Caenorhabditis elegans: one gene and its partners. The protein of the gene in region 1 interacts with the protein of each later gene in a pairwise test. Each region holds a gene or a part of one and is shown on either strand. Other genes may lie near its edges.

Region 1 (3,757 bases):
AAAAAAATTTTTTTTTTCAATTTTTAAATAAGAAATTCTCTTTATTTTTGAACAAAAAAATTCCGCTAAAAACTGAAATTTTCCAGAAATTTTTAAAAATCCTAATAAAAATAACCTGTAGACAGTTTCAGGAACATATTCGAGAATCAAATTCAAGTAGAGTTCATCCTTCTTCTCGCCGCTCGAATAGAAAAAGTATTTGAGCTTCACGATATTTGGATGATTCAATTTTCGCATAATCTGTAGTTCACGATTCTTGAATCGTTTGTCCTGAAGAACTTTCTTGATTGCAACCATTTCATTTGTTGTAGAGAGTTTGGCAAGGAATACCACTCCGAATGATCCATTTCCAATCACTTTCTGATCGTAGTACGAGATTTCAACCTACAATACATTTTTTTTTAATTAAAATTTGAATTACAGTGTTTTTTTTCGTTTGGAGATTTTTTAATAATAATTTTTTCACATTTTATCAGCTAGTTTTCCAGCAAATTTCCTTTTTTTTTTTTTGAAGAAATTGATATTTTAAGTGCTTGAGTAAAATCGTGTACTCCACGAGGAAAAGGAGAACAATTTTGTCAACCTATTTATTACGTGTTTATCCACAGATGAGAAAAATCGCCATATCTGCCGCGCAAATGAACCCGCGGGAAGAGATAAAACTACTGTAGTTTTTAACCAATTTGTGTAGATTTACGAGCTATTGCGTCATCGTTGAATTTAATTTGCAGGCGTTTTTCTAATTTTTTTGTGTTTTCTTTTAAGATTTATTCAATAAATAGATAAATTTCAATATAAAAAAGAGTGAAACACGCCTGAAAATTAAAAATTGCGGCTCAAAATTAAATTCAACGATGACGCAATAGCTCGTAAATCTACACAAATTGGTTAAAAACTACAGTAGTTTTGTCTCTTCCCGCGGGTTCATTTGCGCGGCAGATATGGCGATTTTTCTTATCTGTGGATAAACACGTAATAACTCATTTATTGTGTTGTACTAAATATCGAAAAATATATTTGTATCACTTCCAAAGAGTTTTTTTTTGTGAAAATCCTCATTTTCATGCATTTCCACCAGAGGTGGGCGGATATTTTTTCGGATATTTTCTAATAATGAATTTATCAATAAGTATTGATGTAGTTATTCTGGAAGAAATGTATCCGAACAAAAGAGTAACTATTAAGCAATCGGATATTACGGATATTACGGATATCGGATAATGGACTTGCATATCGTTTATACAGAAAACTTGTAGAATTTTTTTAGGTTTTATCATATTAAAATGTTGCTTAATAGTTACTCTTTTGTTCGGATACATTTTTTCCAGAATAACTACATCAATACTTATTGATAAATTCATTATTAGAAAATATCCGAAAAAAATACCCGCCCACCTCTGATATCCAACTTCTTTTCATCCAAATTTCTCCGAGAAAATTAAAATTTCCTCACTCAAAACCAACCTGCTGATCAACACCATCCGTGGCGACTGACGCGACGACCATCGTCACTTGTTTTCCGCTTTTCAGCGAGCACGATAGTAACTGCTTATTCATCACACCACACTACTGATTGATTTGATTCTTGTGTGTGTGTGTGTATATATGAGCTCTGTCCAATAAATGAGAAGAGCCAGAGATTAGATGATGAGGATATGATGTGGTTTTTTGAGAGGGAAAACGGAGAGAATGAGGCTATTCACCTGAAAATAAAAAATAATAAAATATTTCATTTGGGCGTTGGGTTTGAAAAATACGAGGAAACGTATAAAAATGGGTGATATTTAAGGCAAATATGAGGTGAAATGGAGTAACATTTCAAAATTCGATAAACTTTTAGGAATTCCTAGCCAAAGTGGGAACAGGGGTGGGCGGCAAACGACTTTTTCTGGCAAATCGGTAAACCGGCCAATTTCCGACGAATCGGCAATTTGTCGAATTTGTAGGACTATTAAAGAGCTGTTAAATATGGATTTCGCCAAAAAACTTTACTGGAAATTAGACGATTTTTGGCATTTTCAGCCCATTTTTTTAGGATTCGCTTCAAAAAATCCAAAATAGTCGTAGGGGAGCTCTCATTTTGGAGGATATTCAAACTAGAATAGAATTTAGCCAAAAATTGAAAAAATCGAAGTTTTAAAAGTAGTATTTCTCAAAACTTCTAAAGTTTTTTCTAAAGCTTAATGTAATGTTATTAGCTCGAAAAAGTTGGCTAACTCACTGTAATAAAAGGGAAACGCCAAAACTGCCAAATTTTTAAATATAGAAATGAATTTTTTGAATTTTAAAATTAAAAAAAGGGAAGTAAAATCTAATCCGACACGTTTTAATGTACGTTTTTTTCAAAATAAATAAATACATATTCATTCGAAATTGAATTTTTCTAAATTTAGCGGCAATAAAAAATATATTTCTAGAAGAAACTATATTTTTGGTACTTATGGGTTTCGTTCCCCCCAAAATGATTTTTAATTATTCAACACTACCTTTTTAATTTTAATCCACACGTTATTGTTTATTTTAATACTGTTTTCATTTTTACAAGGCTTAGAAAATCATTTCCCTAAGCCTGGGAATGAAAAAAAAGTTCACGTATCAATTAGAAAATATGGAAATCATTTTGGGGGGAACGAAACCCATAAGTACCATATTTTTTGATTTGGAATTGATATAATTGCTATTTTCGTAAGTATTTCAAAATTCTGACTGAATCAAAATAAAATGCTTCAATTGCTCATCTTAAAATAGCATGTAAGCCCATTTTGCTACACAATTTCAAGAAATTTCACTAGCGCGATCGAAATAACCAGTTTAATAGGAAATTACTCATATTTTCAACGGAAAATGCTCAAAATCGCCAAAACTCACCGCTTCTCACTAACGATTGAACGAAAAATGACTAAATTTCGGTGTTGTTTTTTTTATTTTAAAAAACTAATCCAACACGTTTTAAAAATAAATAGAATTGCTTTTTATATAAATACAAAAATACATTTTATTTCAAAATTGATTTTTTCCAATTAAATTTCGTGGCAATAAAAAGGTACGTATTTTTTTAAAATGTTGTTCCTTGGGAAAAATCAAAAAAGATTTTGGCTAAACAGGATTCTATATTGATCGTAATAGGGAATATATAAATATATATACCGGAAAACTGGCAATTGTCGTTCGGAAAATTGTTTTCCGGGAAACTGCCGGTTTGCCAGTTTGCCGGAAATTTTCATGTTCGGCAAATTGCACAATGTCAATTTGCCGAACATCAATTTGCATATATGTATCTTTATATATATATATATATATAATATATATGTGTCAGTCAATATGAGGGGGTGGAAAAGAAGGAAAAACAGCTAAAATTGAGTGTGGTGAGCGAGTGAGCGCGAGCGCGTGTCTGATGGAGGAAATGGGCAAAAATATGGTGAGATGGAGAAGAAAAAGGAAATGAAAAAGAAAAAAGAAGAAGAAGAAATGCGCTATCAATGTGGAAATAAGCATATTCAATGTTCCCATGGTTTCTATTTTCATTCTATACTGATTTTATATTTATTTTTGTATCGGAAATGTTGAAATTCGGCAATGTCGGGAATGTCCAATTAAGGGTGGACGGAAATTTGGCAATTTTTTTTGCGAACTTGCCGGTTTGCGGATTTGCCGGAATTTTTCATTCTCGGTAATTTGCCGATTTGCCGTTTGCCGGAAATGTGCCGTTTTGAAATTTTTTCCCGTTTTCTTTAAGTATTTTCATAGAATTTGCTTA
Region 2 (3,757 bases), 1.4 Mb from region 1:
TCTCCGCCAATAAAAAACATCAAAAAGTGCCGCTTCTTCAAGGTTTTTCACAATTTTTGGCGGCGGGGAGAGGAGGCGCAGCAAGTCGGAGTGGACGGCGGGCTGGAGAGAAATATGAATAAATCGACAAGACGCAGGCACGTGTCGGCGAACATCAAAGAGTCGCTGGTTTTGAAGAAGGGGGCGCCTCCATTCTCACACCGACCGCCCGAGAAGAAGAGAGAGGAGGCACTTCACCCCCCAATTCTCTTTTCCTTCTCCTTTTCTCTTTACCCCCCTTGATTTTCCTACCCCCATCTTTTTCCTAAATCCTTCTGTTTTACCCATTTTCCTTTTTAGACCATCTTTGGGACTATAATATTTGCTTTGAAAACTGGAAAATTATATGAAAAATCCAGTTTTTAAATTTATTTTAGGCTCAGTTTAGGCCAAACTATTTTAGGTCTTTTTTAGGCGTAAAAATTTGAAAATTTTTAGACTCGGTTTAGGTCAAACCATTTCATGGCCAAATTTCGGCTTGAAATCTAAAAAAAATTACGGTAAAATCTTATTTTTTGAAATGTTTGAAAACTCAAAATATTCCAAGAAAAAAAAAACTAGTTTTACAACATTTTTCTGGGTTTTCTTAAAATCCTTGTTGGGCTAAGAAATTTTAAACTAAGAAATTTTGCTGAAATCTTAAAAAAATTGTGTTGTTTGAGGTTTACTGGCCAAATTTTAGACTTTTTTTTTAATGGCGATAATTTCAAAAAAATCAAGTTTTTACAGCGTCACATTTTTTAAACATTTTTTAAGCTTAAACTATGAGATAGCAAAAAATTGTCTACTAACAAAATAATTACCGTAAAATTTCCTACATTTTATTAATAGCCAACTTTTCGATTGCTTCAGGCTCCACAGAGTTATAACGGTTTGAACTCAAGAGGCGCTAGGCTCCTTTTAACTTCAAACCTCTATAACTCTACAAATAAAAAAGCTAGCAAAAAATTGTTAACTATCAAAATAATTATCATAAACTTTCCTACATTTTATTTATTGGAAACTTTTTGATACCGTCATTTTCTGCAGAATTACAGGATTTTGAACTTGACCTCTACGCCTCCCTTGGCCCCCAGTTTTAACTTAAACCCCTATAACTCTGCACACAATGGTGCTAGCAAAACATTTGAACTGACAAAATAATTGCTATAAAACGTCCTACAATATGCTAGTTAACAACTTTTTGATGGCATCAGTCTCCGCAGAGTTACAGCTATTTGAACTTGACCTCTAAGCCTCCCTTGGCCCCCAGTTCCAACCTAAAAGCTCCATAACTCCGCAGAGAGCAGAGCTAGCAAAAAGTTGTCAACTAACAAAATAATCTACGTACAATTTTCTACATATATTCAATTTAAATTTTTCTGCTAGACCAACTTACCAGCAAGATCAACGCCCCTAAAGTTAGGGGCCCCTCCCGGTAGCCGGTCGAGCGTCCCCAGTAAACTCTTCCGGGGGCACCCGAAACAATGTTCACTCATCAATCGTTGTCATCTTTCTGGAGACATGTGTCTTATCTGTGTGTGTGTACTACTACTCTTCCCAATACACCCCATTACTCTCCGTCACTATCTCTGCGTCTCTCACCCCCGCCACTCTCTCGCTCTCGCCCATTCATTGAGTAAGCGAGGGGCCTCATTCCTTGATTATCAGCCACTGATAGGAACAATAAGACACCCATAGTTGTTCCATTTTTGCAATTAGAGAGGGAATAGTGACGCTTATAATATATTGTATATCCTATATCTTATCACAGTTTTTTTTTTTTTTTTTTGTGTATAGTTTTGGCCTATTTTATAGGTTTTGAGGGGGTCAAACTGCTAAGTTTAAATAAAATTTGTTTAATTTTCAGTAAAAGCGTCATTAGAAAAGTTTTGAACAAAAAATTGAAAAAAAAAATTTTGGCAAAAAAATTATTTTTTTAAAATTTTTTCAAAAAAAAATTTCCCTCGATTTTTCAAGTTTTTCTCTACTTTTTTTTTTGAATATTCTCTTATTTCAACATAATCATAAAATTCACCTCCTTTTCAGGTGCATGGAGACCCATCTCGGTTGGGCGCGAAGCCTGGAGGCCGTTCTATCCGATCGATCGGCACTCGACGCGTTTCAGGAATGGCTTATTGAGTACTCCTCGCCTCAGGTAACTTTTTTTTTGGGATTTTTCTGCGAAATTTGGATTTAGCTTGCCGAGAGCTTCAAAATAAGTATAATCATGACATTTTTACGATGATTTTGAAAATTTTTAGGTTTTGGCGCAAAATTTTTAGATTTTCTTTTGCTGCGGGACCCAAAGTTCCAATATTTGAAATTTTTACTTGTTTTCGGATGTAGCTTGTCAAGAGCTTCAAGATGAGTATAATTATGCCTAGGTTACTTCAAACTTGAAAGAATCTGGGTCTCACCGCGAAGGTTATTACTGTAGTCCCAAATTTTCGTGGCGAGACCCTAATTTTTCAACCTTTGCGGAACCTGGACATCATTATACTTATCTAAAAGCTGACAGCGAGCTGACTTCGAATTTTATAGTTTTGCAGGCGAAATCATAATTTTGTGAGAATTTTGACCAGTTACAAGGAAAGTCTGCGATTTCACGTTTTTTCGAAAATTTTTTGCGAAAATTTCAACTTTTTTTAATTTTCGAGATAAATTTCTCATAATTTAATCAATCTTTTCATGCGCTTTTGGAAAAGCATAATCATGACCACGTTTCGCAAAACGTTGGGTCCCACCACGCAACCCATGGGGTTCTGTAGTTGTTTGTCGTTGTGGGACCCCATAAAAATTAAATTTATTGAAATTCATACACAGCATCCTGAGAGCTTTGAAATAAGTATAATAGTCTAGGTTCCGTCAAAAAAAAGTTGGGTCTCACCACGAAATCTACTACTGTGGCCCCACATTTTCGTGGCGAGACCCAATTTTTTCAAACTTGACGGAACTCATGCATGATTATACTTATTTCAAAGCTCTCAGCAAGCTAAATTCAAATATTGACTTTAAATTTCCGAATTCTCTAAAAAAATAAGAAATTTTCAGTACCTCGACTTGTTCTTCGCAATCCGAGCATACGAACGAATGGCGTTGGAGGGAAAACCGGAGGTATTGATTTTTTTGCAACTTTTTTGGCAAATCGGGCAATATTTATCTATTTTTTTTAGAAATCCCAACTTTCCAAGTCAATATACTCGAAATTTTTGTCCTCTCGGACCGGAAACTGCGAAGCAATTCCCAAGCATTTTAGGGCTCCGGTAAGCTTTTCTTAAAATTTTTTAAAATCAAAAATTAATTTTTGGATTGGTGAAAAACTACGTCATGGCACCGAATTAGAGGATCGGGTATTCAGTCATTGTTCGAATTTTGTTCAAGAATTTTTAAGACGCCAACACGAGGAGTTTGTGGGCTCCGAAGAGTTTATTGAGGCTTTTAATAAGGTAAATTGTTTTTTTTTTTAATTGTGAAAATTTGAATTTAGCTCACTGAGAGCTTTAAAATAAGTATAATCATGCCTAAGTTCCGTCAAATTTGATAGAAGTTGGGTCTCACCACGAAAACCTACAGTAACCCAGGATTTTCTTGGCGAGACCGAGGTTGTTTGGAAAATTTACAGAATTTGCGAAACCTATGCATTCTTAATGTAATATCGGCGGTCTCAGTTCAGATTTTCAGAATTTTGGCGAAAATTTTAGGGTTTTCCAACAATTGGGTCCTACGACGAAATTTT
Region 3 (3,757 bases), 4.3 Mb from region 1:
TCGGAACTGTAAAATCTTTTAACGAGCGATTTTTCATAAAGCAGTATTTTAATAAATATGAAATTACTAGAAAAAGTATAAAAATTGAAACAATAATCAATTACTCACATCAATTGAACCTTCATCATTATAATGGGGTGTGAAATAATTCCACCGTCTCGACATTGTAGCCATGGAGGTAACAAAATCAAAAACTAATAAATATCTATTTGAAGAAATGAAGCACTTCTTCTCTTTGTGTTGACCAACACTTTCAAGCCTAATGACGTGTCAACCTGTGTTGATCTACACTAAGAATTTGTGTTAAGTGTCCTCACTGTGTCTTTTGTGTGTATGCACATGGTACTTGACAGGTATCCGAAGAAAAGAACTGCCAAACTGTTTCTCTTCTTTTTTATCACTTGAAAGAACAGAGAACACGCCCGAGAAATGTTCGGAGAGATGAAAAAATCCTGCGGTTCTACGGAAAAACGGCTGCCTAAATTTGAGTAAATATTCCAAAGTAAAGGTAAAGTATGGCAAGTGGGGTAGTTTTCAAAAAACTACTCCCGTGGTGCTAGAATGAATGATTATCATATCAAAACCTTCTTTGATTTTTTTAGGTTATGTTTTAGTTATTAGTATTTGAACATTGTAGAGATTTGAATCAGGTTTCTTAGGACAAGAAATCAAAAAACAATTTTATTCAAAACTCCGATCGAAAACTTTTGCGAAGTTTTTAAAGTAATTTTTGTAATTTTTTAATAATATTGAAAGCTTGTAAATGCAAAAAAAACGGAGAAAAAAATGTACAGTTTAGGAAACAAAATTAGCATCAAGGCTCAAAATCAGGAGAAAACGAAAAGTTGACCACATTTTTGTTCAAAAATTTCGATTTTGCTGGATTTGTTGATTTTGACCTAGAATATTCGCAGGGAAACAATTTATTGATTTTTCATAACTTCTGGACTCCAAAAATGTTGCCCACATCTGATTCGGACGTGCAGGAATGTTCAGAAGTTATCAAAAGTACAATTTTTGAAAATTTGACTGAAATTTTCGAAATATCAAAAATGGAGTTATTAAATTAAATATTTGGGCATGCTTGACTATCATATAAGTATTTTTTACAAATATTCCAACCGACGATATTTCAACTGACTAGACAAACATTAACAAGTATATTGATCATTACCTCATGTACCCGTGTGGAGATCTTAGTGCGTATTGAATCACCGATGACGTGGCATGTTCCAGTATTCAAACTGACGTATTTTCGATGAATATGCCTAGCCAATTTTAAAAGAGATAGAGATGGAGAACCAGTTTTCAGTTTGGATTCAAAATCCAAAATTGACGTGTACAGGGTTATCGAATCGGCGTTCCGCGATTCTTCCTAGAACATGATTTAATTATTTGGCAGGAAATTTAATTATATTTACATAGATTCATAAATTAAAAAAATTAATTTTCAGAACGTAATTACTGTATACAATACGATTTTTCCAAACGATACAACGATTACTCTACCTTTTGACACCATTTGGCAAATGCGGTATCATGAAGAACTCGATCAATGGAGAATTTCGATCGCATCGTCATTATTTCTTCGTTTCATACTGAAAGTTTTGTATTTTACCCATGTAAGATCATTTATCAACAAGAAAAACTTGGGTTAAAAATGATTAAATATTTGAAGTATGGGTGGAGATTGAGCAAATGCGCGAAAAAAACGTCGAAATGTTAGACGGAAAGAGATGAGATATTGTGTCAAACCGATCGAGAGCCCTACCGTCTTGGCAAATAAATTGACGATAGAGGGAGAGAATGAGTGTGGAGACAGGAAATGGAGAAATTTGTGTTCAAGTCTCGTAAAATAAGGGTTTAAAATGTTATAGCACGATTTAGAGTATATAGCTGAAAAGTCTATATAAAAAAAATTCTGCCAAAATGCAAGCTTTCTAGTAGAGTTCAATATTTGGAAGGATTTTCTAACTTTTTCAATTCGGGAATTGATGGTTATCACCTTGTTTATTCTAAAGTAGTCTTAAAACTGAAGTTATAAAAGCCGTGGGTTTCTTGTTTTGATTTGAAATTTCTTCACTTTATTAATTATTGAAAACTCGCTTTTTATCTCGAATGCGTCTATCGCGAGAAGTTGGCATATCAGTAAAAGTGGGGGCTACTTCCTTCGGAATTCTTACTGGAAAGAATGTCTTTCGTGACGTTAAACTGTCCGAAACACTTATTGTCACTATTTTCAATTTTTCTAAAACTAAGAGCACCGATTTCTGAAAGAAAACATGTAGTAAAATTCGATAAATATTGATGTATCAATTTTTAAATTGTTAAAATATAAAACCATGGAATGCATAGCGAATGTGGGCATATAGCAGTTTTGAAATTTCCATAATCAAGGAGTGTGTCGTTTCGCGCGAGAAGTTGACCTTCGATGGATTGACTCACTTACTTTTACATTCAGCCGACACAAATGAACTGACAGATGTGGGAACAGATGGGGATGGATGTACTCTTCAACAGTACACACATGATATAACTGAAATTGACGAATTTGATATTATGACAGTATATTACTCAATTCTTTGCATATAAAAATGTCTACTCTGACTAGAAAACCTTTTTTGGTGTCCAGAGAGTTTGGGATCGAATGATATACTTTCTGAAAACAATAGAAGTTTCGAATTGAAAGTAAAGTGTCTTTTGTGCATTTGGGGTGAACTCCGTAGTTTAGTATAATTTTGGAATTTCTATTATTGGGAAAAGTGTCGAAGGCGGGCAAGAGCACTGATGACCTTATAGGCCACCATTGAACTCTTCCGGAATGTTATCAACAACTGATATCGAACTACACTCATTTCCTGGATTCCATTATAATTATCTTTTCCCTTAAAATCTCTGCTCTCGAGAATGTTTTCGTGCACATGGTAGTCGACGGATTAGATAAGAGACATTGAAAGGGAGAGACTAATTATAGACAGGTGTATTGAGAGACTCTATGGTGGAAGAACGGACCTTCCTAAAGGTTTAGAGCAACAAATCGATCGGTTTTGAGCACCATTGCATGACACTCATAGATGTAGTCATTTGAATCTTTCTACATTCGATAGTTATCCAATTTTTTGAACAGTTCTGATTTTTCAACAAAAAAATGATTATGGCCGATGAATCTGTGGATCAAATGAGAATCGAGGAATTTCTAGTGATAGTTAATCGTAAGTTATTTTATTTTTCTTTACAAGATTCCCAATAAATATCCGTATTATAGATTACACTACTCATGTAAAGTCTACAACCGATCTAAGCAAATGCGGGAATTGCACATGGGTTCTTCCGAAATTGGATGCACTTCAGAAGAAAATGATCGATTATCTTCAATACAGAAAAGATGATGAGGATACAATTGAATGGAATACACTTATTATCGAACTATTAGATATGCCAGATGAGCACAACGCAGAGGATATTCATAGCAAACCGTCACCAGCGAAAAAGAGAAAATCAGAAGAAGTCAAACCAAAAATTGAGGCAAAAATCGAAAAGAAAGTTGCGCGTGAAGAGACGAAACTTATGGAATCTTCAGATAAAATTGATAAAGCAATTGAAAGTCTTGTTGCTGAAACTGAGAATCAATACGATCCACTGGATAACGTTGAAATGGATAGTTGGGATGATGAGGAAGATGATAGTGGAGAAGATCAACCAGAAGATGAAGAAGATGAACTAATGGAACAAGAACCGGAAAACCCACAGGAAAATG

What was found.
Region 2: the proteins of gsk-3 (region 1) and pry-1 interact in binary tests that used the Caenorhabditis elegans proteins (3 or more experiments, as listed by UniProt).
Region 3: the proteins of gsk-3 (region 1) and axl-1 interact in binary tests that used the Caenorhabditis elegans proteins (3 or more experiments, as listed by UniProt).

Annotation. Positions count from the first base shown.
Region 1 is NC_003279.8:12,817,162-12,820,918, reverse strand, and holds the start of gsk-3 (Glycogen synthase kinase-3), read right to left. Parts: upstream 1,704-3,757; 5' UTR 1,558-1,703; coding exon 1,465-1,557; intron 385-1,464; coding exon 116-384; intron 1-115.
Region 2 is NC_003279.8:14,177,671-14,181,427, reverse strand, and holds the start of pry-1 (Axin-like protein pry-1), read left to right. Parts: upstream 1-2,067; 5' UTR 2,068-2,071; coding exon 2,072-2,176; intron 2,177-3,072; coding exon 3,073-3,135; intron 3,136-3,194; coding exon 3,195-3,284; intron 3,285-3,329; coding exon 3,330-3,467; intron 3,468-3,757. UniProt on the Caenorhabditis elegans protein: Works in parallel with axl-1 in negatively regulating bar-1 signaling in vulval precursor cells and Q neuroblasts. Inhibits Wnt signaling, which affects tissue specific expression of Hox genes, egl-5, lin-39 and mab-5.
Region 3 is NC_003279.8:8,511,743-8,515,499, reverse strand, and holds the start of axl-1 (Axin-like protein 1), read right to left. Parts: upstream 1,601-3,757; 5' UTR 1,582-1,600; coding exon 1,510-1,581; intron 1,376-1,509; coding exon 1,175-1,375; intron 280-1,174; exon of another isoform or gene 175-279; coding exon of another isoform or gene 109-174; intron 1-108. Other genes in the region: K02B12.2 (Myb_DNA-bind_3 domain-containing protein), read left to right, coding at 3,149-3,212, 3,266-3,757. UniProt on the Caenorhabditis elegans protein: Works in parallel with pry-1 in negatively regulating bar-1 signaling in vulval precursor cells and Q neuroblasts. Shown to have a role in excretory cell development.